7 linked regions of the Rattus norvegicus genome follow. The protein of the gene in region 1 interacts with the protein of each later gene in a biochemical or structural test. Links are inferred from orthologs where the notes say so. Each region holds a gene or a part of one and is shown in the gene's direction. Other genes may lie near its edges.

Region 1 (3,356 bases):
GAGTCTGTGATTGTAGCTATGGAGCGAGTGTCTGTGCTCTTTGACAGGTAAGAAATGCAGCAACACCTGACCTTTATCCTCAGTAGTCATTGACTGCCCTGGAGCCACAGCCAGAGCAGTTCCTTCCACGTGTATTTGTTCATTCTCTTGAACTTTAAATTGCATCTTTGCAGCCGTTTTCCCAATGCATGCATATTCAGAGTACCACCTGCAAGCCAGACTCAGGGACAACTGGACCCATGCAGGGGTACAACCAAGCCACTGCCCTGGGGGATCCCACAGGCAGGGATGAGGAAATAGATACTCCCGGAGTGTAGCCAAGTGCTATGGTGGGGCTCAGCCCATATCCACTGGAAGGAGACACGGTTGAGTGTCAGAGTCACTTGTGTACTTCTTGGCCGTATACCACGGTGGTGTGGCATTAGTCACAGGTCAGCTGTCTTTAAGGATGCTGCTAAAGGTGGAAGTGTTGGATGTTGAGACAAGAGTCAGTAGGAGCGTCAATGGGAGTCTGTGTTTGAAGGGAAGAAAAGCTCCTGATTGACAATAGCACCCTGGATATTAGGACATGCAACAGTGACGCTTTAGAGCCTTTTGATGTGGAGTCTCTTCTGTAATGTCACTACCTACCTGTTGCTGCTGCTCCCTGACAGGGCCTTCCCACAACTGCATTATTCTCCCCAGAGTGGGAAAGATCACCCTGTGCCCAGATTAGTCAGGGCAGCAAAAGGACAGCCTGGATGTCGTCTTTGGCTTTTAAAACTCATACCCCAGTTGTGATCTGAGCCCCACTTAGAACATCCCTGTGGGTCATGGGTCATGGGTCAGGGGCCTCTGAGCCTTGGTCCATGTTGGCTCTATGGGCAGGGTTGAGAGGCTAAGAACCAGGTGAGGCTCAGATCAGTTCCTCTCATTTCAGGATCCGCAAGGGATTTCCCTGTGAAGCCAGGGTCGTGGCAAGGATCCTGCCTCAGTTTCTAGATGACTTCTTTCCACCTCAAGATGTCATGAACAAAGTCATTGGAGAGTTCCTGTCCAACCAGCAGCCATACCCACAGTTCATGGCCACTGTAGTATACAAGGTGAGAGTGTACTTGCATTGTGGAGCAAGGACAGAGCAGGAGGATGAAGGGGGACTCAGTCCCACACTTATGGTAGGCCTGTCATCACGGCTAGACTCATCCTTTAAGATGGGTGGCAGCTGTGGTCCCAGTCCCCACCCAACCCCACAGCCTGACCCTGTGCTCAGGGCTCTCTCCTCCCCAGGTTTTTCAGACTCTGCACAGTGCTGGGCAGTCATCCATGGTCCGGGACTGGGTTATGCTGTCTCTGTCCAACTTCACACAAAGAACTCCAGTTGCCATGGCCATGTGGAGCCTCTCCTGCTTCCTTGTCAGTGCATCTACCAGCCCATGGGTTTCTGCAATGTATCCTTCCATGGGGCTTTGGCCAGGTTTCAGTCTCCACCAGCCTTTCCTTATTCTCTTAGCATCCAGTTCAGGTTCCACTGAGTGTTTTGAAGCCTAAACTCTAAAGAACCCCACAGGTATCAAGGGGATGCTTACCCTCCCCTAAAACACTGATGGGGACATGAAACAGAAGGTCTAGCCATTTGCCAGCCAGGGCTGCCAACGGGTGGGTTTGTGGCAGGAGTACTACTGCTGAGGGAGAAGAGAGGAGCCCAAAGGGAGGCAGGGCAGCTCAGGCCGCTGCTGGCCCTGCGGCTGCCCCAGCGTCTGGCATGCTTTATCCCTCTGAGGTTTTCTCAATGCTGCTTTTCATTAGCTCTCATCTTTACACTGCGGTCACCCTCCTGGGGAAAGCCGTAAGTAAAGCTGCAGTTCCCGCCCTAACAGTGATGCCAGGAGTTCCTCTTTTGGCAGCCTTCTCCACAGTAGAACAGGAGTTACTGAGCAGCAAAGTTGTCTTGGTGGTGACAGTACAGCCTCACCCTAAGTACTGGGAAAGCCTTGCAGGCAGGGTGCTAGCTCTGCCCTCCCTGCACTGGAGCAGTGTGAGCGGAACACCAGCCACTAACACTGTGTGGGGAGCACAGCCCAGGTAAGTGCTGTTGCGCAGAGCACTGGGAACCAGCACCCTGTCTGCACTGCAGGGCTCCCACTTCCTGGGCCTCTGGGCCCCTGGGCCTACCCATCCCTACTCTCCTGGGCAGACAGCAAGCTGTAGCTGGCAGAGGATTACAAGCAGGTGCTGTGCTAATGTGGTCTAGGCTGCCCTCTATTTTGGTTGCCCAGTCTTCCTGGTGGACTTAGGGAGGGAACCGCTTGGGGAGGCTGTCTTCCCACCCTTGCCATCATTCCCCCTTAACTGTTCTACCAGCCTTCCACACGTCATCAGCAGGATGGGCAAACTGGAGCAGGTGGATGTGAACCTTTTCTGCCTGGTTGCCACAGACTTCTACAGACACCAGATAGAGGAGGAATTCGACCGCAGGGCTTTCCAGTCTGTGTTTGAGGTGGTGGCAGCACCAGGAAGTCCATACCACAGGCTGCTTGCTTGTTTGCAAAATGTTCACAAGGTCACCGCCTGCTGAGTAGTACCTGTGGAACAAGAGGCTGAGAGGAGGCAACTGCTGTGGCTACAGCCTCCAGGGGCCTGCACCAAGCTTCTGCTAAGGCTGCCTTGGACGTGCAGGCTTCCACTTGTGTCAAGTGGACAGCCAGGCAATGGCAGGAGTGCTTTGCAATGAGAGCTATGCAGGGAACATGCACTATGTTGGGGTTGAGCCTGAGTCCTGGGTCCTGGCATCACTGCAGCTGGTGGCAGTGCTAGGTTGACCAGGTGTTTGTCTTTTTCTTAGTGTTGCCCTGGCCATAGTTGCCAGGTTGCAGCTGCCCTGGTATGTGGAACAGAATCCGAGCTCTTGTAAGATGGTTCTGAGCCCCCCTGTCCCACTGGGCTGGAGAGCTCCCTCCCACATTTACCCAGCAGGTGTACCTGCCACACCAGTGTCTGGACACAAAGTGAATGGTGTGGGGGCTGGGAACTGGGACTGCCAGGTGTCCAGCATCATTTTCCCTTTCTCTGTTTTCTTCTCAGGAGTTAAAATTTAATTATATCAGTAAAGAGATTAATTTTAATGTAACTCTTCCTATGCCCGTGTAAAGTGTGTGACTTGGCAAGGCCTGTGCTGCATGTGACAAAGTTTATGGAAGTGGATGCGCCTTCTGGCCACCACTCTCTCTCCTGTAGCTACTCAGTCTAGTCGGGCAGGTCCCTCATGTAGCCCTCCCAACACCCTATGGCACTTGCACTTCACACGGCTCCTTTTTCTTATGCATTCCATTTGACTAGCACAGAGTGGTGTTGGTGTTAACTGCCCTATGTGAGAATCC
Region 2 (3,500 bases), on another chromosome or scaffold:
GCCCAGATGCCTAATTGGAGTTTTTAGAACTATATAGAAATTAACTTCTTGAATGGTAGAATACTCGCCTACTGTGTGGAGGCACGGAGATCAGTTCTAGAATGATGTTTTGTTTTTGTGTTACAGTTCTTGACGTTTTCATTTCATCATACTTTAGTGATTCCCGGGGTCTCCACAGAGAATAAGGTTTTGACTCTTCGTGATCTTGGAAGGCTTGGCTTTAGCCACACTTGTTTACTTAGAAGCCATTGAGAATATCTTTAACAGCCATAGTTGGTTCAGAAATTGATGCTAGAGGCAACTGTTGGATTTGGCCAAGACTGTCATTACACTGTGCCTCTGGTTTCCTAGTTACTTTCATCACAGGAAGGCCAGTCTTTAATTTATCTCACTGCTTAACTGGTACCATGTTTTAAGATTAAACTGTTCTTTTCTAAAACTCTTATTTAAAAGGGGTGGAGAACAGATTCCAGTATGATAGTGATGTCATGTTGGCTTCTGTTTGGCATGGGTCTTACTGTTTAGCCAAGGTTATCCTGGAACTACTATGTAAACTTAAACCTGTAGCCCCTTGGCAGTCCCTCGGGTACTTATTTGGGAGGTTGAAGCCAGAGAATTGCTTGAACCTCAGAGTTCAAGGTCATTCTGGGCAAATATAGCAAGACCTTATGTCAGATTAAAATAGAAAGACGAGTCTTGACAGAACGGTGTGTCATGGGCTGGTTAGATGGCTCAGCAGGTAAAGATACTTCCTGTCAAGGCTGACAGCCTGTGATTGGTTCCTGGAACCCATGTGGTAGAAAGAGAACTGATTGCCAACAGTTTTCCTCTGGCTTAGACAAGCATCCTACACACACCACTCATGGAAGAATCAACTGTAATTAAAAGTGTAAAAAGAGGGGGTGGGGAAAAAAAGTGTAAAAAGAGGGGCTGGGGATTTAGCTCAGTGGTAGAGCGCTTGCCTAGGAAGTGCAAGGCCCTGGGTTCGGTCCCCAGCTCCGAAAAAAAAAAAAAAAAGAAAAGAAAAGAAAAAAGAAAAAAAAATGTAAAAAGAAAAGGGATGGTGCTATGAGTGTGATGTACCAGTGAGATTTTTTTTCTCTATTTTAATTTTATTTGTTTATTTATTTGGTTATTTGAGACAGGGTTTCTTTGTGTACCCCTCACTGTCCTAGAACTCCCTCTGTAGATCAACCTGGCCTTAAATTCATGAGAGGTCCACCTGCCTCTGCCTTGCAAGAGTTAAGATTACTGGCATGTGCTACCATCACCTGGCTCTGTCATGAGATTTCTATAACTGTTTTGTCCTACCCATTGCCACCTTTCTCCTTTTTATTTCAGGTGATCATGGAGCTCAACTTGGCCTTCATGGACCTGGCGGTGATGGAATACATGATGAGACAGCAGGTGGAGAAGAAGGAGAGAACAGCCCTGATCCCCAACCCCAAGCTGGTCGCAGGACTCGGCGGGAAGCATGTACATGCCCCTATTGTAAAGACAGTGAGGGGAGGTGAGCTCATCTTATTGAATATAGAATTTTTCTTTTTTTTATAGAAATAAACAAACAATGAACATAGAAATATGAGGGAAAGTGTATAATTTTATTATTTAAGACATAGGGAGTGGGCTGGAGCGATGGCTCAGTGGTTAAGAGCACCAACTGCTCTTCCAGAGGTCCTGAGTTAAGTTCCCAGCAACCACATGATGGCTCACAACCATCTGTAATGGGATCCCATATCTTCTTCTGGTGTGACTGAAGAGAGCGACAGTGTTGTACTCACATACACAAAATAAATAAGGTTTTTTATAAAAAGATATAGGAGAGGTTGAGTGTGTAGCTCAGTTGGTAAAGGGTTTTCCTAGTATTTATGAAGTCCTGAGTTTGAATCCCAGCACTGCATAAAGCAGTTGTGGTCATACATGTCTGTAATCACATGTCATGTGACAGACTTTTCCTGTGTAACACATACATGTGTCTGTTTAACCCCAGATAGGGAGTATATAAAGTGAGGGGTTGAGCACCAGATATATAAAGTTGAGGACATGACCGTTCCAAGCTGTGGTTGAGGGGAAGGTTTTCATTGTAGATATGAGGTGGAGTATAGCCAGAGGCACTGAAGAGTTCAGAGCAAGGAGAGAAAGTAATAGACTAAATAATAACCAGTAGATTCGACCTGGCCATAACAGGAGACAGAACAGGGTAGAAAATGAGACAGAAAGATAAAAAACGAGAGACGAGAACACTTGTCTAGATGGCAAGGTTGTATGGGAAGGATAAGCTTAGGGAGGGAGGGAAGGTTATAAACTGGAAGAGTTTAGGGTAGGGGCAGGGATTAATAGACGTGGTCTGCCAAACTCAGCAACTTTTATTCTATTTCTTTTTTTTTTTTTTTTTTGGTTCTTTTTTTCGGAGCTGGGGACCGAACCCAGGGCCTTGCGCTTCCTAGGTAAGCGCTCTACCACTGAGCTAAATCCCCAGCCCCTCTATTTCATTTTTATTGTTTGTTCATTTTTGAGACAGGGTCTGTTTATGTAGACCTAATTAGTCTGGAACTCACTATGCAAATCAGACTGTCCTTGAATTCGAAGAGACTTCCAGTGCTTGGATTAAAGGTGTGAGACCACGTCCAGTTCCCATAAACATAATTTTTAGTCACCTGATGTAATTGTTGTCTAACTTAGGCTTAGGCCTGGGAGGCTCTAGCCTCCCTACAGTCTAATATAGGCCTAGAATGTTTTTAGTCTCTGAGACTTACTGCTGAGTAAGCTTACACTTTTTAGCTCTTGTTGGCTGGTTCAACCCATCTATTCTGCCTCAGAACTCCTCTCTAAGCTGACTGATTCAAACTGGCTTCTTACTTAATTTCCCTGCTTCACCTCAAACTAACTCTAGCAATTTGTTCTAATCTTTTGACTTTTTTTTATTCTCTGGTTCATTCTGTCTTTACCTGTGTGTAGCTTATTATAACTCTCTTCAACTTGGTTGGGGGGGGGGGGCTCTCCCTGTAAAACTGCTTCTGAACTCCACTGACTGACTGAACAGAACTGACTAGAACTCAAGATCTTCATGCTTCTGTCTCCTAGGATTAAAGGCTTGTCTGTATTCCAGCGGAGGTGGCATAGTGAGTTCTAGGATTACACAGACCTAGAAGGTCTTTGGATATGATCTCTTGCCAGAGCAGCCATGTTCTGAATTATAATTCCTCTATAAGCTTCTTATTTTATTTTACATGGAATCAGGGTAATGCTCCATCTCCTAACTTGGCCTTGGCTTCTGTCTCCTAAGTAGTAGAGATTACAAGGATGAGCTTCCATGCTTTTCTTTCACCCTTAATATTCAGGCCTAGAGGAATGGCTCATTTGTTTATTTTTGGTTTTTGAGACAGGGAATTCATTTGTTTGTTTGTTTACTTATTTGTTTTTATGTAGCCCTAGCTGTTTTGGAACTTACTCTGAAGACCAGGCTGGCCTTCATTTCAGAGATGCACCTGCCTCTGCCT
Region 3 (3,500 bases), on another chromosome or scaffold:
GCCTCTGTGGTCTTCTGGCTCCCCCTTCCCTGTCTAACCACTGCCTAACCTCCAGCAGGCACCTCCTGTCCTCAGGTGACGGTTCGTTTTTCATTGATGGTCATTGCTTTCTTCTCACCAGTGTCTCTGATCTCACCATAGATGTTATTTCCCGTGGGAAGTTCTCTTTCTTCTCCAGACTCTAAGGCACTCCTCCTGTGCTTGTGGGTCCTGAGCATGGCTGTCCATCTCTTTCTCTTGTTGGGCTCCTTTAGACATGCATCATCGTCATCATCATCATCATCATAATCATCATCATCATCATCATCATCATTATTACTTTGGAGTCACCTTTTTAGGGAGGAATTGACAATGGAAGTATTCTTAATTTTTGTAGAATTAGACATTGTGTTAGACATTGTGATTAGACATTGTGTACGTTAAAGAATTGGGGAAGGGAATCCTGTGGCGATGGATTCCCACTGCTCTGTCCATCATGTGTCCATCCGTAAATGCTCTGAAAGCTTGGCAGTGTGGGCAGCCTTGGTGCAGAGCAGAGGATGAAGAGTGGGTGGGGCCAACGCTCACAATGTCCCTGGCTGAGGACTGGCCAATAGCCTCCAGGGGAGGAGGGGTCGGTTTTCTTGAGGGGTGCTCCAGCAGACGGCTCTGTGTCCTTGTGCAACTGGCAAAGTGGCCTCCTCCGTGGACTGGAAAGAAAGCACACACGAAGTTAGGAAGGGAAAGTGATGCTGGTGGGGGAGGAGGGGAGGAGGTAAAGGAGAGAGAATGGGGCAGACTCAGATTAAAATACCTACGTATGCATGGAAGTCTGAAACAGCAACAGGTAGGACTTAGGCCGAGAAAAAGGAATGAGAATTTTCATAGTCATAAAGAAGACCATGTGTGCTTTGAGCACACACCGTGGTGTGAGTCTCATCTCAGAGTGAGTCACACTGTGGTGTAAATCACACCACAGTTTTTGAGTTTCATCACAGTGTGACTCTCATCATGGTGTGAATCACAGTCTAGAGTGAGTCTCATCATCGAGGTGTGAATGCCAACATTTAGTGAGGACTTCCTTTCTCTCTTCAGCACCACCTGAGAAAGCTAGAAGGCCGCCGTCTGGACTATGATTATAAAAAGAAGCGGGTGGGTAAGATCCCCGAGGAAGAAATCAGACAAGCAGTAGAAAAGTTTGAAGAGTCAAAGGAGTTGGCCGAAAGAAGCATGTTTAATTTTTTAGAAAATGACGTAAGTATTTAAACCACACAGAAGACTTGAATGCCCACGAGTAAAAAACACAGCACATGAGCATGACTGCTGTGCGGTGGTGTTCTCAAACCTGAATTGTTAATGGACGTTTCTAGAACGTTCTGTAACTGTGGCTTCCTGCCTTACATATAGTGGTCAGCAATCCCAGACTGAAGCTTCAGTCCTTGGCGGGGCTGCTTGTCTCTGAGGTGGCCTTGTAGCGGAAGATGGCCCAGGAGAGCAGTCTCTGTGTTAAAGGCCACAGCATGTGGTTTGGAGCTGTAGGCTTGCCAAGTTTGAACAGCATGCGCTGGGGTGAAGATCTGTGTCACTGTTTATTGGGTTAGCTGAGGAGACACACTGGTCCCTGTGCCATAGAACAGGTCATCTTTCTTCTCTTTTGGGGGTGACAGCAGCCAGACTTGGAAGGGGTCTCCCTGGGGTTTTCTATGTCCTTGTGGCCTGGCGTTCTCCTCCAGCGACCCTTGGTGCCTCATAGGCTAATGGCAGCATTGCTCACCACTGGCAGAACAAACTGAGGTGATCTGGTGGGAGGGGAGAAGAGCTGACAACCCTCGCTGAACATTGTTGGGTGTGTCTTTTAAGCTCTTACCTTGGCTCTCATCCATCTCCCCCAGCCCCTGCCTCCATGAAGCCAAGGCCATGGCTATACTTCAGAGTTCTGATACCTCTTGGTCACCAACTTCATGTCCACCCTTGGTCACTTGGCCTGTATGGCTGTTCCTGCTTCCTTTCATGGCTGGGAGCTATGCTTCAGAGTGGTTGATGATGGTTGGGTTTTCCTCTAGGATATCATTGTGGTTCTGGGTAAATATGATTGGATCCCTTTAATTCTTGTTAAACATAGTAGGTCTGCAAGCTGGGACACTGCCTGATGGATTTGGCAGTGCTTAGACCCAGAATTGGCTGGACTTTAGTGTCCTGGAACAGACCTGAGAGAACAACTTAAAAGGAGGAAGGTGAGCTTTGCCTCAGGGGCTGGAGGTCTCAGACCACACTAGCTGGCTTCACTGTGTCCATTATGTTGCCATGGAGCATCATGGTGGGGCAGATGCTGCCCTTAGACTGGCAGAAAGGAGATACAGGGTCGGGGCAGAGAGGGAGGGGGAGAGAGAGGGAGAGAGACAGAGAGAGAGGAACATGGGGAGAGAGAGGGAGAGAGACAGAGAGAGGGGGGCAAAGAGAGAGAGGGAGAGGGGGAGGGAGAGGAAGAGAGGGAGAGAAGGAGAGAGGGGGAGAGGGAGAGGGAGAGAACAGCCTTACTCTCCCCTGTATCCCTTTACTTTAAGCTAGGTTTTATCTTTTAAAGTTCCAGAAGTGATAAAATATTGCCATGATCTCTGGATCAAACCCTCAGTGTGACCCTTGGAGGGCATTCTATGTTCACACTGGGACACACTCGACACTGCTCCTATTGGAAACTGGTGAACGGGCTGTTACAGAAAGGCTTCCAGGAGAACATGCTAGCAGAGAGCAGAAGGATCATGGCGTCCTCCAAACACACGTGGGAGATGCTTTGTCATTGTTGGGGGGAGATTTGGGGAACTCAGCCACAGCAGACACTGGTTTGGGTTCTGTCTAATTGAGAAGTTGACAAAGGAGTCAGGTATCTGGTGTGAGCCTTCATAAGTGTGATTATTGATCTTTTGATCAACTGTGTTGGCGGTATGGCCCAGGGTCAAAGTCTCAAAATTTTACTTCCTCCTCTCTACCACCGCAGTTGATGGATGCCGGCCTCTCAATGTAGAGCCAGCGTGGCTCCACCAGAATAGCATAAAAGATGCTGACACTGAGTGAGCATCCCTCACGGGGCTACTGACCACGAGAAGCAGTTATAGGCAGAGTAAGGCATATGTTAAGGACAGGCTCCAGTCTCATCCACACAAGGAGGGAATGGAATTGGGACTTGTAAGCATCCATTCCAAGGAAATGGGTAAACAGAGGAAAGTGGCTAAGAAGGATCTGAGATGCTGTGCTCTATCCTTGGTTACTTCCTGCTTATGCTTCTGTGGCACCAGGAATTCAAAGCCTGAAATCTCACCCTCCAGGACTTGGATGGACTCACTGACTCTAACCCTTGTCTCCCACTGTCCTGGATAAGCTATAACATGAGCTTAAAAATACCAGTTGTGTGCATGGATACTTGTCCGTGTGGATGGACGCTCACCATGTGAGAGCGCTGCCTGTGGACGAAGAGGGCAGCAGATCCCCTGATGTCAGAGTTACAAAGGCTGTGAGCACCCTGT
Region 4 (3,500 bases), on another chromosome or scaffold:
GCTCTATAAGGGACTCCCATAAGTCATTAATTGAGTTCATATAAAGGCCCACTTAAGGGATTAATTAGGGAATAAACATACCACATTAGCTGATATCTGTTTTTAAAGTCTGCAGAAGGTGCCTTAAAGTAAGAGAAAATAGAGACTTTTGTTCTTCTCTTGATATTTTTATTGACTGTCATGGAATTTTCCTGAGTAATGATTTTTAAACTTACAGTGGAGAGTGTTCATTGACTACCTTTGAAAAAAATGATCTAAAATTGTACTGATGCATTAAGGAAGTAACATTTGATTTCATAATCACTAGAAAAGCTGAGCAAATGTTTGGGGAGATGGAAGTTTGGAATGCAATATCAGAGCGTGATCGTCTTGAAATCTATGAAGACGTTTTGTTCTTCCTTTCAAAGAAAGAAAAGGTACTCTTAAAATCATAAGTATTTTCAACATTTTTAAGGATTTTACTTTAAAAGAATAAAACTATAACAGAATTTCTTGACTTAATTTGTATAGTGTATGTTATATATCATATCTGCTCATTGGAAGCTATGTTCAAGATAAAATGAGTTAACTCAATCTTTTTCCCTCTTTTCGAAGATGGTAATTATTGTTTAAATCATAGTGGGTGCTGATTTATCTGAATATTTATCACTGTTAAATTGTTTTACATCCATTTTTAAAGGATATTACTAAAACTTTAAATAGAATTGAATGACATTGAGGACTTTGGTATTTACATGCTATGACTGCTTTCAGTAGCCCTCATTGTAAAATGTATCTGTACTGCATATTGGTAATACAGACACAAAAACAAAGTTTTGGATTTTGACTTCAAAGACAGATGGAAAAAGTAAAAGTAAGGACTCTGTCACAAACAACAGTAACAAAATAAACAGTGTTGATACTGCAGAACTATATAAAACATTTGAAGCTTATCAGAATATAAAATAATGTTAAGTAATTGCAATTCAGATATCTTGTTTGAATGTTAAAAGGTATTCAAACATTTGTTGTAGGAACAAGCAAAGCAGTTACGAAAGAGAAATTGGGAAGCCTTAAAAAACATACTTGACAATATGGCTAATGTTACATACTCTACCACTTGGTCTGAAGCCCAGCAGTATCTGATGGATAATCCAACGTTCGCAGAGGATGAAGAGTTACAGAGTAAGAACAATGACAAGTAGTGCCCTCCAGTCACAAAGAGTTAGTCAATTTTTGTATGAAATCAGAATTACTCTGACTTTTTATTTAGTCACTAATTCAATTATACACAATGATTTGTCCATTTTGGGGTGGGGGGAGCTTTATTTTCAAATGGGTTCCTTTTAATTGAATTTTAAATTTATATTTTTTCAATTTAGATTTTAGAGATAATTCTTGAAATATGTAATAAGGCAGTCATTTGTAGATCATTGGTGTCTTCTGAACACAGCAAGGCAGCTGCACTTAAAAACTCTGAGTGACTAAGACAGCATGCACAATACTTACTCCCAGCATGCAAATGGGAGTTGACCATGAAATCTCACCCTTTGCTATATAATCAAATGCATACAGAACTCTTGAACTTAGATGTTTTAAAAAATGGGGGTCAAGCATGACATTGCTTCTGTTAGTAGTTCATTATACCTTGTACATGTCCTCCTCCATTTATCCTTTGTGATACCTGAAGTCATAACTTGTGTCATTATATAATTATGTTTGAATTCAGATACAAGTGTTTTTATACTGAATTGGAAATTTGTAGAGTTTAATGCAAATAACTAAACTGCTTTCTTTATTAATATTTCTTTTTTTATTAAAAAAATACTATAGACATGGATAAAGAAGATGCATTAATATGCTTTGAGGAACACATCCGAGCTTTAGAAAAGGAAGAAGAAGAAGAAAAACAGAAGACTTTGTTGAGAGAAAGGAGGAGGCAGCGTAAAAATAGGGAATCTTTTCAGGTAATAGAAAGATGCCCCCCCGGAGCTGGGGACCGAACCCAGGGCCTTGCACCTGCTAGGCAAGCGCTCTACCACTGAGCTAAATCCCCAACCCTGAAAGATGCCTTTTCTTAGTTCTGTAATATAGTCATTGAGTGTCAAGAAGGATCAAGACAGTTTTGAGATACTTGTTTCCGGTTCGTTACCTAGACTTCACGGGTGGTCCAGTATGTTGAACTCTTTAATTTTTATAACTTAGTTTTTGTTCTTGGACATTTGAGGAGAGTGAACATAGCTGGGTGCAGCAAGCATTGTTTAACTTGAGCGTAGGTTTCAGCTGAGCAAAATAGCATAAGGGCTAGGTGGAAACAAGATGAGTGATTGAGTGCTTTGTAGCAGTTGATATTTGGTTCTCAAAGGATGTACTGTACAATTTAGGCATGGAACATAATTAAGCCCTTTACATGGGAGCTAAACTGTGTTCCGTAGTCAGTGACTCCTTTTTTGCTTCTAGTGCTATTCTTCCCATTACAAAGAAATGAATTTTTGCTGTTTAAATTCTTATTCTCTTATTTCTTTGGGATAGGATCCTAGGTGACCTAGGCTGTCCTCAGTCTTGCTATGTAGCCCAAAGAATTTTGTACTCTTGATCTTTTTCACCTTTCAAGTACAGGGATTACAGATAAATGCCACAATGCTCACCTAAGATATTTTACTTGTATAACCTGTGTTTTGAAACTACTTCTTAATATATCATGTTTGTTGAATATATTCAGATAAATAAGGAAACAGAACTGGTGAGATACTACTAAGCATGGAGCTAGGATTTAAAACTATACAGTCTTGGTTACAAGCAGTCTTTAGTCTTGTGTATTAAACTTTGTGTTAGGGTGACAACAAGGTTGCAGTGGCTTACTTAAGCTTGTTGTTTATCATTTGATCTATTGTTATTCTTTAGGGCAATAGTTCTTGAAATCTCTTTTGTGTTAGACTCATGTAAAAGACTTTTTAAAAACAATTATTCCTACCATGTCAGTGGTTACTAACTCTATTGCCCTCAGCTGTTGAACAGCAATTTACTTTTGTTCTGTGAAACTCACTATTCTGTAAGTTACTTTTTCAGTAGTTCTGCATAAGATTATTCATGACTACTAAGAACACAGATTATTAAGCCTCCTCCTAAGAATTTGATCCAGTCAATACATTAAGTTTTAATATGTAGTAATACTGATGCTCTTTTGTACACCAGTGATTTCTGGAATTGTTCCTTATTAGTGAGAAAGATCATTTCTTTGATCACATTTAGCATGGAAATGACCAGTCAAAGACCAGTCTTATTAAAGCCATGAAAGTAGACATTCTGTTTACCTATGTTCCTATAATTTTCATAGCTAGCTATAAAATAGGCTATCCCTAGTTTTAAGATAATCAACTATTTGTAACTATGTGGCAAAAAATGTTTTTTAGGAGAGCTCTTAGACTTTTGCAGCTTGTAAGCTTCAAGACTGTTTTAAGGTTTAAAGTTTACAATAGTTTAAATTTGAAGTAGACATAAAATAACAAATAAAATAGATA
Region 5 (4,124 bases), on another chromosome or scaffold:
TCTGCTGTGTAAACGTAAGGGACTGTATTTGAATCCCTAGTCTCCACATGAGCGTCTGGTATGGTGGCTCTTGTCTGTAAACCCAGGGGTTGAGTTAAGTGGGTGTCTGGGGGCTCCCTGGCCAGACGGTCTAGTCAAAGTGCTGAACTCCAGATTCCGTGAGAGACCTTGTCTCAAAAAAACGAGATGGCAAGGGCCAGACAACATCTGATGTTGACCGCCGACTTCTGCCCACAGACACGGACACATTCGTACACCACATACAAAATATATTAAAATGAAATATTTTCAAAAAGGTGAAATCAATAGGATTGGCAATTGGAGGATGGTGGAGGAGAAGGGAGAACATCAAGAACGATTTTGAGATCTGAGTCCATGAGTCACCATTTCCTTTTAGCCTGTCTCGCAGTCTAAAAGCATAGACATGGCTACTGCCCTCCCTAGCTCCCACCCCCCTCTCCCAGTTCATTCAGGACCGAGAGCAAGCTTCCAAAGCATCTATTTCTCTGGGGAGCCCACCGTCCATGAACTGAAGAGCATAGGTAAAGTCGTGAAGACCGACATTGATCCTTTCAGACCCCGGGATAACGGGTGTTTTGGTGTGTGTGTGTGTGTGTGTGTGTGTGTGTGTGTGTGTGTGTACACGGAGGTCTGGAAGAGTCGTCACAGAGAAACATTTAAGTAGGATCCCCTCCGAAGATGCTTGGACTATATATAGGCCTTGCGAATTAGGGTTGGAGATAAAAGAACGAGTGGTGAACGCAGTAAGATGGAAGGCGTCTAGGGGCGAGTGCGGGAGTGTGAGCTCGAGGACCTGTGGATGACACGCAACACGTTGAAAGCCATACCGGAGTTTGGATTTCTCGCTTAATCCACCTGGGAAGACACAGGCGTACTGCCTCGATTCTCAGGTCACCTCGGAATGTATTCAATGTTGTGTAGAACAACAGAGAAAGCCCCTGGAAGCTGGGGTGACGGGAGCGCGCGCGGGAGGGCTGGGAGGGGGGGGTTGTTTCTAGGCAGAAGCTACGGGTCCCTCTACTCAAGTCCAGGGAAGCCGCGGCTTTGGACAGAACCATTCTCAGAAGATGGAAGGGAAGAGAAACCCATCATCGTGAACTCGATCCCATGGAAAAAACTGGGCACTCTCTCATCTCTTTCTTTCTTCTTCATTCATTTACGTCCTATTCCGTCACCACTGGCTGCTTTCTCGTAGGATCCCGAGTCCTCAGCACCACTAATTGATCAACGGTCACCCCTAGCGCCACACGTGGTACAGCCCAGTGGCGCCCGCTCCGAGCACAGGTTATAAAGGCTCGGCTGCGACAGCGGACTGCAGAGTCAAGATGCGCCCGAAGGAGCAGGTGCAGAGCAGTGCCGGGGACGGGACGGGGTCGGGGGACCCAGCAACAGGCACCCCCACGACCCAGCCTGCAGCGGATCCCGCTCCGGAGCCCTCGGCAGAGCCCAAACCTGCTCCGGCGCAGGGAACCGGGTCCGGACAGAAATCAGGATCCCGAACCAAGACAGGAGGAAGCTTTTGTAGGTCCAGGATCCGTGGCGACTCGGACGCACCATGGACCCGCTACATATTCCAGGGGCCTTACGGTCCCCGGGCTACTGGCCTGGGCACTGGAAGGGCTGAGGGAATCTGGAAGACGCCAGCCGCGTACATCGGCCGAAGGCCCGGCGTGTCCGGCCCTGAGCGCGCGGCGTTTATTCGAGAGCTGCAGGAAGGTAAACTGAGTCTCGGGGATCCCACACTGGGCGTTATTAGGGCATCTCTAATAACCACCGACTCAGGCGCCCCGCCCCCTTGTGGCTCTCAGTCCCACCTTTCCACCACCCCTGCGAGACCACTGTCCGCCGTGCCTGTTTGGTTTCCCTTTCCCCATCTTTTCCTCTGTCTCAGGTTCCCCGATTATTGTAGGTGCGTCAGATCTAGGGCTGTCTTGCTCTCCCCGCCCCCCTCTTCGCGCCTGTTGCTGTGGCAGATCTGCGCACTCTCAATGCCCCCTCCCCGTCTACCGCAGTGCCAGCAGAGGGGCGGGGGTTGCGGGTGCGCTGCCGGGTGCGCTTTGAGCCTGCGCTAGCCCGCAGGACCAGCCAGCGTGGGTGGGTAGAGCGGGGGGCGGGGCGGGAGCCTTTGACACTGCTTGGCCGGAGGGGTCTGGGTCGCGCTTTCCTGAAGCAGGATTGAAGCGGGAGGAGTGGGCGGGGCACTGGCCTTCTGTCCCTCCTCTTCTGGGCGGGGCAATTTTAGGCTGAGGTGCCCGCTTCTGGTGCTGAAGAAGTAAGTCTACTTGGCCCTCCTGTCACATGCAACAGGTTTAGGATGGGTTACGTGCATCTGTTACGATCGAGGAGTCTCCAGTGAGCTGGCTAAGCTGCCGACTGAGTCAGGCATGATGAATCCAGTATTTCCCCTGACTTCTTATCTCGAGGGACCAGAGACCCAGGGGTCTTGAAAGTCTGGTTCCTGAGCCTGGAGGATGGTTTTGCCTTTACAGCACCCAGGCCCCTCCTGAGAAGGCAGGAGTGCTGAGATCCGGAGCTGTGAAGAGGGTGTTAGGGCCAGATAGAACGCAGTCTCACCACTTTTGTTGTGAGGGATGTAGGGGGCTGTGGGCAGCCTCGGCTCCTTTCCCTGATCCACTCAGGCCTTTCCTCCTGCAGCGCTGTGTCCTAATCCACTGCCCAGGAAGAAGATCACCGAAGATGATATCAAAGTGATGTTGTATTTGCTGGAAGAGGTGGGTACCGCCTTGCCTTCTTCACTCAGGCCAGCCCTCATTTTAGCTCTTCCCTACAGGACTTAGGGCTTTTGTCTGTTTTCTGCTTGCCTGGGTGCCAACTTGAGGGCCCCTTTCCTGAAAGGCACATAGATTTCAGAGGACCAAATCTGGGCTGATCTTTTTCCTCAGGATGAGAAACTGAGTCAGACCCCAGAGTTGGTTAATAGTCTTTGGTTTAGTACTTGGACGGCTGGGTGCTGGGGCAACTTTCTTCTTGTGGCTTAGCCCCTGCTCTCGCCCTCCTGTTTGGGAGAAGTATGGAATGGTTGGCTCTCCTTTTGCAGAAAGAACGGGACCTGAACACAGCCGCTCGCATCGGCCAGTCCCTGGTGAAACAGAATAGTGTTCTGATGGAGGAGAATAACAAGCTGGAAACCATGCTGGGCTCAGCCAGAGAGGAGGTATCTGGGCTCCTAAGGACCAAGAGGAGGGTTCGGCTTGTTCCCTCCCCCAACCAGCACCTGTTCTGCCCCTCCGTGCTCACCTTTCTGCGGCCCCTTTCTCCTGCCCTAGATTTTACATCTCCGGAAGCAGGTGAACCTGCGAGATGATCTCCTTCAGCTCTACTCGGACTCCGATGACGATGAGGAGGATGAAGAGGATGAGGAAGAGGAAGAGGGAGAAGAGGAGGAACGAGAAGGACAGAGGGACCAAGATCAGCAGCACGACCATCCCTATGGTGCCCCCAAGCCGTGCGTGTTCTGCCTTTGTGCCTCGGTTGTCCGTTTGTAAACGGGCATGGGCAGTTAGCCTGCTGGCATTGCCTCGTCTGGGGAAGCCTTGGGGGACTGGGATCCTCCACCCCTTACAGTCTGACTCTCATTGCCCCCTTGCCAGGCCCCCTAAGGCTGAGACGCTGCACCACTGCCCACAGCTGGAAGCCCTGAAGCAGAAGCTGAAACTGCTGGAAGAAGAGAACGACCATCTTCGAGAGGAGGTGAGGACAGGGAGGGGGCGTGCCCTTGGGCAGGGGAGGGTGACTGACGGCGGGGGTGGGGGGGGATGGTGGCGGCCTTACCCCTTCCTATTCCCCTTCCTCCAGGCCTCCCACCTTGACAACCTGGAAGACAAAGAACAGATGCTCATTCTGGAGTGTGTGGAACAGTTTTGTACGTGACACTGTAATCCGGGGAAAGGGCGCTGTCCCAAGAGCTGATAGGAAGAACTCAGGGTTTGGGGTCTGGAGATGCAGTCCTGGCTCCGGCACTTTGCCGCTGTGTTAGCACGGCCAAATTCCTCGGCTTCTCTGAATCTTCATCTTTACAATGAGGACTGATAACCCCGGCCTGCTCTTCATCCCCTCAGGGTTTATGAGGGTCAGGAGAAGCA
Region 6 (2,532 bases), on another chromosome or scaffold:
CGGGATGCCCATGAACTGGCCGCAGTTCGAGGTGAGGAGGCGCAGGGTGGGGTGGTAAAGTGGGATCCTAGGAAGGGACTGTCAGTTCAGACCCCTCAGCCTGACTTCCCTCCACCTCCAGGAGTGGAACCCAGACCTCCCCCACACCGCTGCCAAGAAGGAGAAACAGCCTAAGAAGGCAGAGGGGGCCGCCCTGAGCAATGCCACTGGGGCTGTAGAATCTACATCCCAGGCTGGGGACCGTGGCAGGTGAGTACCTCCCATGGAGCTCCTGGGAAGGAGAGGGAGAGGGAGAGGGAGAGGGAGAGGGAGAGGGAGAGGGAGAGGGAGAGGGGGAGAGAGAGGGGGAGAGAGAGAGAGAGAGAGAGAGAGAGAGAGAGAGAGAGAGAGAGAGAGACCCACACCCCACACACTGGGCTAGATACATTTTATCCAAGAAGACAAGAAATGACCCCAGACCATAGCTACTATGTGTCCTCTGAAAAACAGGTGGGTAACCCTTCAAGACACCTGCTGTGAGTCACACAGTACTCTGAGCACCCTTGTCTTAGTCAGGGTTTCTGTTCCTGCACAAACACCATGACCAAGAAGTAAGTTGGGGAGGAAAGGGTTTTTTTTTTTGTTGTTGTTGTTTTTTTTTTGGTTCTTTTTTTCGGAGCTGGGGACCGAACCCAGGGCCTTGCGCTTCCTAGGTAAGCGCTCTACCACTGAGCTAAATCCCCAGCCCCCGAGGAAAGGGTTTATTCAGCTTACACTTCCACATTGCTGTTCATCACCAAAGGAAGTCAGGACTGGAACTCAAGCAGGTCAGGAGGCAGGAGCTGATGTAGAGGCCATGGAGGGATGTTACTTCCTGGCTTGCTTCCCCTGGCTTGCTCAGCTTGCTTTCTTATAGAACCCAGGACCACCAGCCCAGGGATGGCACCATCACAAGGAGCTGGGCCCTCCCCACTTAATCACTTATTGAGAAAATGCCTTACAGCTGGGTCTCATGGAGGCATTTCCTCAAGGGAGGCTCCTTTCTCTGTGATAACTCCAGCGTGTGTCAAATTGACACACAGAACCAGCCAGTACAGCCCTCCTTATATTAATGAATTCAAGCCTCCGGCCAGTCTGAGAATGGATAGAGAAGCTTAAGTCCAGAGAGACTAGGCAGCATGTCTAGACATCTCAGAACCAGGCAAAGCTGTCTCGTCCACGTAGGGGTAGCGTCTCTCACAGGATCAGTCCTTGGGTCCTCCTTCGCGCGAGCCGAAATCCTAATGCAAACTGTTCAAGCTGTCCGAGGCTCACTGGCTGGGACCCTGCCCTGTGTATCCGACTTCAGCTCCAGCCTTGTAGAATCTGGACCCCCAGCTCTGGTTAGGAGGGAATGTTGATATGAATGGGGGTGGCCTCAAATCCGCTGATAGAGGTCCCCATTTGCACCTAAGTGTCAGCAGCTATGACCGAGGCCAAGCGTATGCCACCGAGTGGTCAGACGATGAGAGCGGAAACCCCTTTGGGGGGAACGAGACCAATGGTGGCGCCAACCCCTTCGAGGACGATGCCAAGGGAGTTCGTGTACGGGCACTCTATGACTACGACGGTCAGGAGCAGGATGAGCTCAGCTTCAAGGCCGGTATGGGGGCTTGGCTGAGGGTGGGGTGGGGCTGGAGGACTAGGGAGAGAAGACTGGGCTTAGATTGGATGTAGAAGGAGTGCAGGGGCTGAGGGAGAGCCCTGACCTGAGCTGGGTAGTGCAAGGGTCTGACTTGAAGACAGTCTTTCAAGGGGCCAGGGCAGAGGCCTGAGCATGGTGGGCTGAAACCCTGTGAGGTGCTGACTGAGTGAACAGGGGCCAGCACTTGAATGTTGAATGGGACTGTAGCCCCGAGTTGAAGCCCAGGTAGATGGGATGGAGTACTGGGGCAGAGCCATGCATTAACAAGGTGTCCCTGTGTCTCCCTCCCCAGGAGACGAGCTCACCAAGCTCGGAGAGGAGGACGAACAGGGTTGGTGCCGCGGGCGGCTGGACAGCGGGCAGCTGGGCCTCTATCCTGCCAACTACGTTGAGGCTATATAGCTACTTTGCCCACCCGCCTCCTCTCACTCCTTGTCCACCGCCTTCTGCCCTTCCCCTCCCCTCGCCATAGAGTTCCAGACATATTTTCCGATCAAGCTTTTATTTTTTTAAAAGTCAAAACAGAACAAAAAAAGAAGAAATATGAAGAGACAGCGTTTGCAGCCTACCTGGAGGCCAGGGGAGTGGGGCTTAGGATGATGGCCCCCTCCCCAGCGTGGGCAAGGATCTTGGGACTTAACCCAATGTCACATCTGGTCTACAGAGTCCACCAAAGAGTCTCCTGAGTCTTGAGGGAGATCTTCTGGATCCTTCTACCCTGTCTCGCTCTCCTGTCCCACCCCAGCTGCCAGCAGCTACCCTTGTCACCTGAGCCTGGCTTCCTAAACTCTCCTTCAATCCCGCCTTCTCTTAAAGGGCCCCCAATCTTTAGTCTTCCACTCTGCCCTGGGGGTGCTCTTTTCCTCCCA
Region 7 (3,969 bases), on another chromosome or scaffold:
TTTCTGACCTCCACAGGTGCACTGCCGCGTGAGCACAGTCCCACACATACACACAGGTACATAATTCACACACATTAACAAAAGCCAAGCATCGTGGTCCACGGAGATTCGAGGGACTCGGCTATATAATGAGTTTGATGCTGTCATTCATTAATCAAAACATTGCCTAGTACAAGTGAGACGTGTACTGGGTTCTTGAACAGATAGATGAATAGCATCATCAATTTTTTTAAATTCTTAACGGTGCCACTGGTTCTGTTAGTAGAGAACGTGTAACATTTTCTTTGCTGAGGAGCACACGTCCCAGTCTGTAGATGCTCCCAGAACAGGATGGGAGGAGTGGACCCTGCTATAGATAAACAAGGAGCATCTGTTGGGGTTTCTACCAAGGTAAGGGAAAGCTCTGGGGAGATACCCGCAGTCAAAGTCCAGTACTTGGGGACCCGGGTCGGCGATCCTCCAGAACTGGCAGATAGGAATGCACGGGGAGGAGACTTCGAGAGCCACTAAGGCCGCCATCGCCGGACCACACTGATGCGGAGTTCCCCGGCAAGCCTGGTGAAAGCGGTGCAGCCATGCTTCCCTTGATCTGCCTTTCCGTCCCCCTCGGGAACTCGTGGCGCCGGCTGGACGGCAGCTCTTCGAGCTCAGCAACCCGCAGCAGAGAAGGGCCCAGGAGGTGGCGCTTCGAGATAGGGTGGAGTCTCAAGGGCTGGTCTGTAGCAGCCAGGCCCTGCCCCATTAAGATGACGGACAAGCCTTCAGAGCAATCATGGTGCTCTTTTGGTCCTGTAGGGTGGGAACAAAGGAGGAGTGACGGATGTAGGGTGGAGCAGCAAAAAAATGGTGAGGGCAGCTCACGAAGCCAGCCCTGCTGTGTTGACAGATAACTCTTCAGACCAATGACAGTGCATTTCTAGGCCTGGAAGGCGGTGTATCGATCATGGGGCGGAGCCTCGGGGAGGGAGCAAGAGCCCACCAGGTCCTGCCCACAGAAGTTAACGGACAAACCTTCAGACCAGTCATAGCATGCCGACCGCTCTGAGGCGGGCCAGCCGGTGAAGTGAGCGGAGCGCCTCCGAAGTGGGAAAAGGGATGTGGGGAAAAGCCTCTTGGAGAGATGGGGTGGGTCCTGAGGGAGATGGACAGCGCTGTCAACCAATGGAAGACGTAATCTGTCCCCGTTAGCGCCGGATCCCCGCGGGTAGGGAGGGGCGGGAGGCGCCGCGGGGATCCCGGGGCGGCCGAGGGCCCCTGACTCTGTTCACCCAGACAACATGGACCGGATGGCCAGCTCCATGAAGCAGGTACCCAACCCGCTGCCCAAAGTGTTGAGCCGGCGCGGGGTTGGTGCTGGGATGGAGGCTGCGGAGCGCGAGAGCTTCGAGCGGACTCAGGTGAGATTCGAGAACCCTGGGGCATCCCTGGGGGCACCTGGAGTGATGCAGGGTGCTAGAGAGGCTTGGAACGGAGTGAGTCTTGCAGTCCCGGGAGGGAATTAGGCAAGGTGGCTGCGATCAGAATCATTTTGGGGTGCGGAACTAGGCGGGTCCCAGGGAGGTCCGGGACCTGGGCATCCCTACTGGCACGGGGGTCGGGGTGTACTCCGGGGAACTGCAGATTCCTGCAACTGAGAGAATAGCCTCGGCGAGCACCATCAGAGGTCACAAGGGAGGCCAAAGGGAGTCGAAAAGGGACTGATGGAAGGGGTGCTCCTGGGTAGGGGAAGCACTTGGAAGTCACTCGGTTTTTGCAAGTGTGGGGACACCAACGTAGAGGTGTAAAGGGTGGCTCTGATCGCTTTACTTTAGTATTGACTTCTTCCTTCATTCCCCAGCATCTCGTTCAACGGTGCCTCTAACTTGGCTCTCAGCAGCCCCAGCTGTTGGCCTCAGAGGCTGCGCCAAAGGGGTCTGAGTGATGGGAGGGACCGTAGGAAATGTGAAGTGTGGTCCAACTTGGAAAATGACCCCCGGGGGTTTGGAGAAATGGGGACGCGTGTAGGAATTGCGACGCTTGGACTGTCAGACCCTCGCGTGTCGGGTTAAGCTCTCCAGTGATACATAGAATCCTGATTTGCGGTTTTCCTTTCACCCTCCAAAATATGCCTGACAGCTACTAAGCAGACCGCCTGCCTTGTCTGGTCTGACCAGGGCAGATGGCCAAAATTCCACCGCGGTTATCAACAAAAAGCCACTATCCACTTTTATCTCAAGCTTTTATGCATGCTGTATCGATCGGACCGAGTCAAGTAGTGAGGCGCTGGGTGTGTAGTTACCAATTCATCTGTATGTAAAATCTGAGAGTACAACCCTTCGGATCCCACTGCGGAAGCTGGGCCCGTAGATTTCTTGTTCTCCTCTGGCTCTCCAAGTTCTACTTTGAAGATCGAGTTGACTTCAGCCAGAGGCAGCTCCCCTGTGGTGTTCTGTGAGTAGAAAAGGTGGAAGAGATAGGAGAGCCCGTGAGTTCTATAAATGGACGGTGCACGGAAGACAGCCTTTTCACCCCAGGGGACTTTAATCCACCTCTTGTTTCTGAGACCCCTGGATCCACTTCTTGTGTCTGGGGGAAAAAAGGGGTAGTTGTACCCGGGGAGGAGGAGAACCGGCATTCACTTACCTCTCAATGTCTAAGGGTTTTTGGAACTTTTTTAATTTCTCAGATCTTCTGAACTTTGGGCATTGCTGCCAAAAGGAAAAAGAAAGTTTTCATCTTCTCCCCGCTACAAACCTCTTTTATTTTTAAACTGAAAGAGGAAAATAAGCCGGAGCTATTTTGTGACATCCAACCGTCTGAGAATCTCTGATAGCTTAAAACTGGAGCAGTAAGTTAGACATAAAAGTTTGAGCTTGGGGTTGGGGATTTAGCTCAGTGGTAGAGCGCTTGCCTAGCAAGCGCAAGGCCCTGGGTTCAGTCGTCAGCTCCAAAAAAACAAAGACAAAACAAAACAAAAGTTTGAGCTTAGGCCCAGTGGAGCTGGCTAAGGGGCCACCTGCGTTTCATGCCAGGGAAGGAGCCATGTTGCCCTCTGACTTCAGTTTTGAGCTGCGCCATGAACACCCCTCCATACACACACACCCAAAATTACATTAAGAGTGTTTTTGAAAGTTTGAAATTAATAGACAGTGATAGAAATTAGGCATTTGAGGGGTTGGGGATTTGGCTCAGTGGTAGAGCGCTTGCCTAGGAAGCACAAGGTCCTGGGTTCAATCCCCAGCCCCGAAAAAAAAAGAAAAGAAAAAAAAAAAAAGAAAGAAATTAGGCATTTGAAATGTTTCCAGCCACAACTAACATTTTTCCTAGTTACCCAGGGAATACTCAACAGGAAGACTGGTAGGTCAGTGTCTAATTTTACCTTCGTAGAACACTTGTTATTAGTCAGATTTGGTGTGTGTGTGTGTGTGTGTGTGTGTGTGTGTGTGTGCATGTGTGCACACGCATTGAGATATACTACAGCAGAGTTTTTCAGTTATGGAAACTCCTCCCTCCCCTTTTTTTCTTTTCTTTTTGATTTTTACAGATAGGGTTTCTCTGTATAACAGCTCTGGCTGACCCGGAACTCACTTTGTAGATCAGGCTAGCCTCAGACTCACAATGGTCTGCCTGCCTCTGCCTCCCAAGTGCTGAGGGTTTTTTTTTTTTTAATTTTTTGTTTGTTTTGTTATTGTTGCTTTTGTTTTATTTGAGTGAGGATCTTACTGTGTTGCTCAGGCTAGCCTGGAACTCAGCTATGTAGACCAGGCTGGCCCTCAAACTTTCATCTCCCTGCCTTGGCCTCCCTAGTGCTCAGATTACTGGCATGAGGCAGCACAATCCAACTGAGTTGTTGAAATTCTCTCAAGCTGGCAGGCATGGTGGGACACTTTGACAATCCCAGCACTCAGGAGGCAGAGGCAGGAGGATCCTTGCCAGTGTGGTCTCCATAGCAGATTCCAGGCTAACCATGCCTATACATAGGGAGACCCT

Evidence for each region.
Region 2: the proteins of Htt (region 1) and Sp1 form a complex in vitro, tested with the Homo sapiens proteins (2 studies listed by BioGRID). The link is inferred for Rattus norvegicus from reciprocal best matches to the Homo sapiens genes HTT and SP1.
Region 3: the proteins of Htt (region 1) and Sh3gl3 form a complex in vitro, tested with the Homo sapiens proteins (2 studies listed by BioGRID and IntAct, with this or other methods). The link is inferred for Rattus norvegicus from reciprocal best matches to the Homo sapiens genes HTT and SH3GL3.
Region 4: the proteins of Htt (region 1) and Prpf40a form a complex in vitro, tested with the Homo sapiens proteins (2 studies listed by BioGRID and IntAct, with this or other methods). The link is inferred for Rattus norvegicus from reciprocal best matches to the Homo sapiens genes HTT and PRPF40A.
Region 5: the proteins of Htt (region 1) and Hap1 form a complex in vitro, tested with the Homo sapiens proteins (4 studies listed by BioGRID). The link is inferred for Rattus norvegicus from reciprocal best matches to the Homo sapiens genes HTT and HAP1.
Region 6: the proteins of Htt (region 1) and Pacsin1 form a complex in vitro, tested with the Homo sapiens proteins (2 studies listed by BioGRID and IntAct). The link is inferred for Rattus norvegicus from reciprocal best matches to the Homo sapiens genes HTT and PACSIN1.
Region 7: the proteins of Htt (region 1) and Hip1 form a complex in vitro, tested with the Homo sapiens proteins (2 studies listed by BioGRID). The link is inferred for Rattus norvegicus from reciprocal best matches to the Homo sapiens genes HTT and HIP1.

The regions. Positions count from the first base shown.
Region 1 is NC_086032.1:80,073,313-80,076,668, reverse strand, and holds part of Htt (huntingtin), read left to right. Parts: coding exon 1-47; intron 48-919; coding exon 920-1,082; intron 1,083-1,266; coding exon 1,267-1,427; intron 1,428-2,340; coding exon 2,341-2,554; 3' UTR 2,555-3,356.
Region 2 is NC_086025.1:135,437,050-135,440,549, forward strand, and holds part of Sp1 (transcription factor Sp1), read left to right. Parts: intron 1-1,341; coding exon 1,342-1,510; intron 1,511-3,500. UniProt on the Homo sapiens protein: Transcription factor that can activate or repress transcription in response to physiological and pathological stimuli.
Region 3 is NC_086019.1:145,632,255-145,635,754, forward strand, and holds part of Sh3gl3 (endophilin-A3), read left to right. Parts: intron 1-1,074; coding exon 1,075-1,233; intron 1,234-3,500. UniProt on the Homo sapiens protein: Implicated in endocytosis. May recruit other proteins to membranes with high curvature.
Region 4 is NC_086021.1:58,050,010-58,053,509, reverse strand, and holds part of Prpf40a (pre-mRNA-processing factor 40 homolog A), read left to right. Parts: intron 1-307; coding exon 308-416; intron 417-1,013; coding exon 1,014-1,164; intron 1,165-1,812; coding exon 1,813-1,946; intron 1,947-3,500.
Region 5 is NC_086028.1:85,783,704-85,787,827, reverse strand, and holds the start of Hap1 (huntingtin-associated protein 1), read left to right. Parts: upstream 1-1,324; 5' UTR 1,325-1,346; coding exon 1,347-1,737; intron 1,738-2,676; coding exon 2,677-2,753; intron 2,754-3,079; coding exon 3,080-3,196; intron 3,197-3,308; coding exon 3,309-3,487; intron 3,488-3,632; coding exon 3,633-3,732; intron 3,733-3,837; coding exon 3,838-3,904; intron 3,905-4,124. UniProt on the Homo sapiens protein: Originally identified as neuronal protein that specifically associates with HTT/huntingtin and the binding is enhanced by an expanded polyglutamine repeat within HTT possibly affecting HAP1 interaction properties.
Region 6 is NC_086038.1:5,764,929-5,767,460, forward strand, and holds part of Pacsin1 (protein kinase C and casein kinase substrate in neurons protein 1), read left to right. Parts: coding exon 1-31; intron 32-121; coding exon 122-249; intron 250-1,433; coding exon 1,434-1,621; intron 1,622-1,955; coding exon 1,956-2,065; 3' UTR 2,066-2,532. UniProt on the Homo sapiens protein: Plays a role in the reorganization of the microtubule cytoskeleton via its interaction with MAPT; this decreases microtubule stability and inhibits MAPT-induced microtubule polymerization.
Region 7 is NC_086030.1:26,768,778-26,772,746, forward strand, and holds the start of Hip1 (huntingtin-interacting protein 1), read left to right. Parts: upstream 1-1,169; 5' UTR 1,170-1,277; coding exon 1,278-1,397; intron 1,398-1,403; exon of another isoform or gene 1,404-3,969. UniProt on the Homo sapiens protein: Plays a role in clathrin-mediated endocytosis and trafficking. Involved in regulating AMPA receptor trafficking in the central nervous system in an NMDA-dependent manner. Regulates presynaptic nerve terminal activity.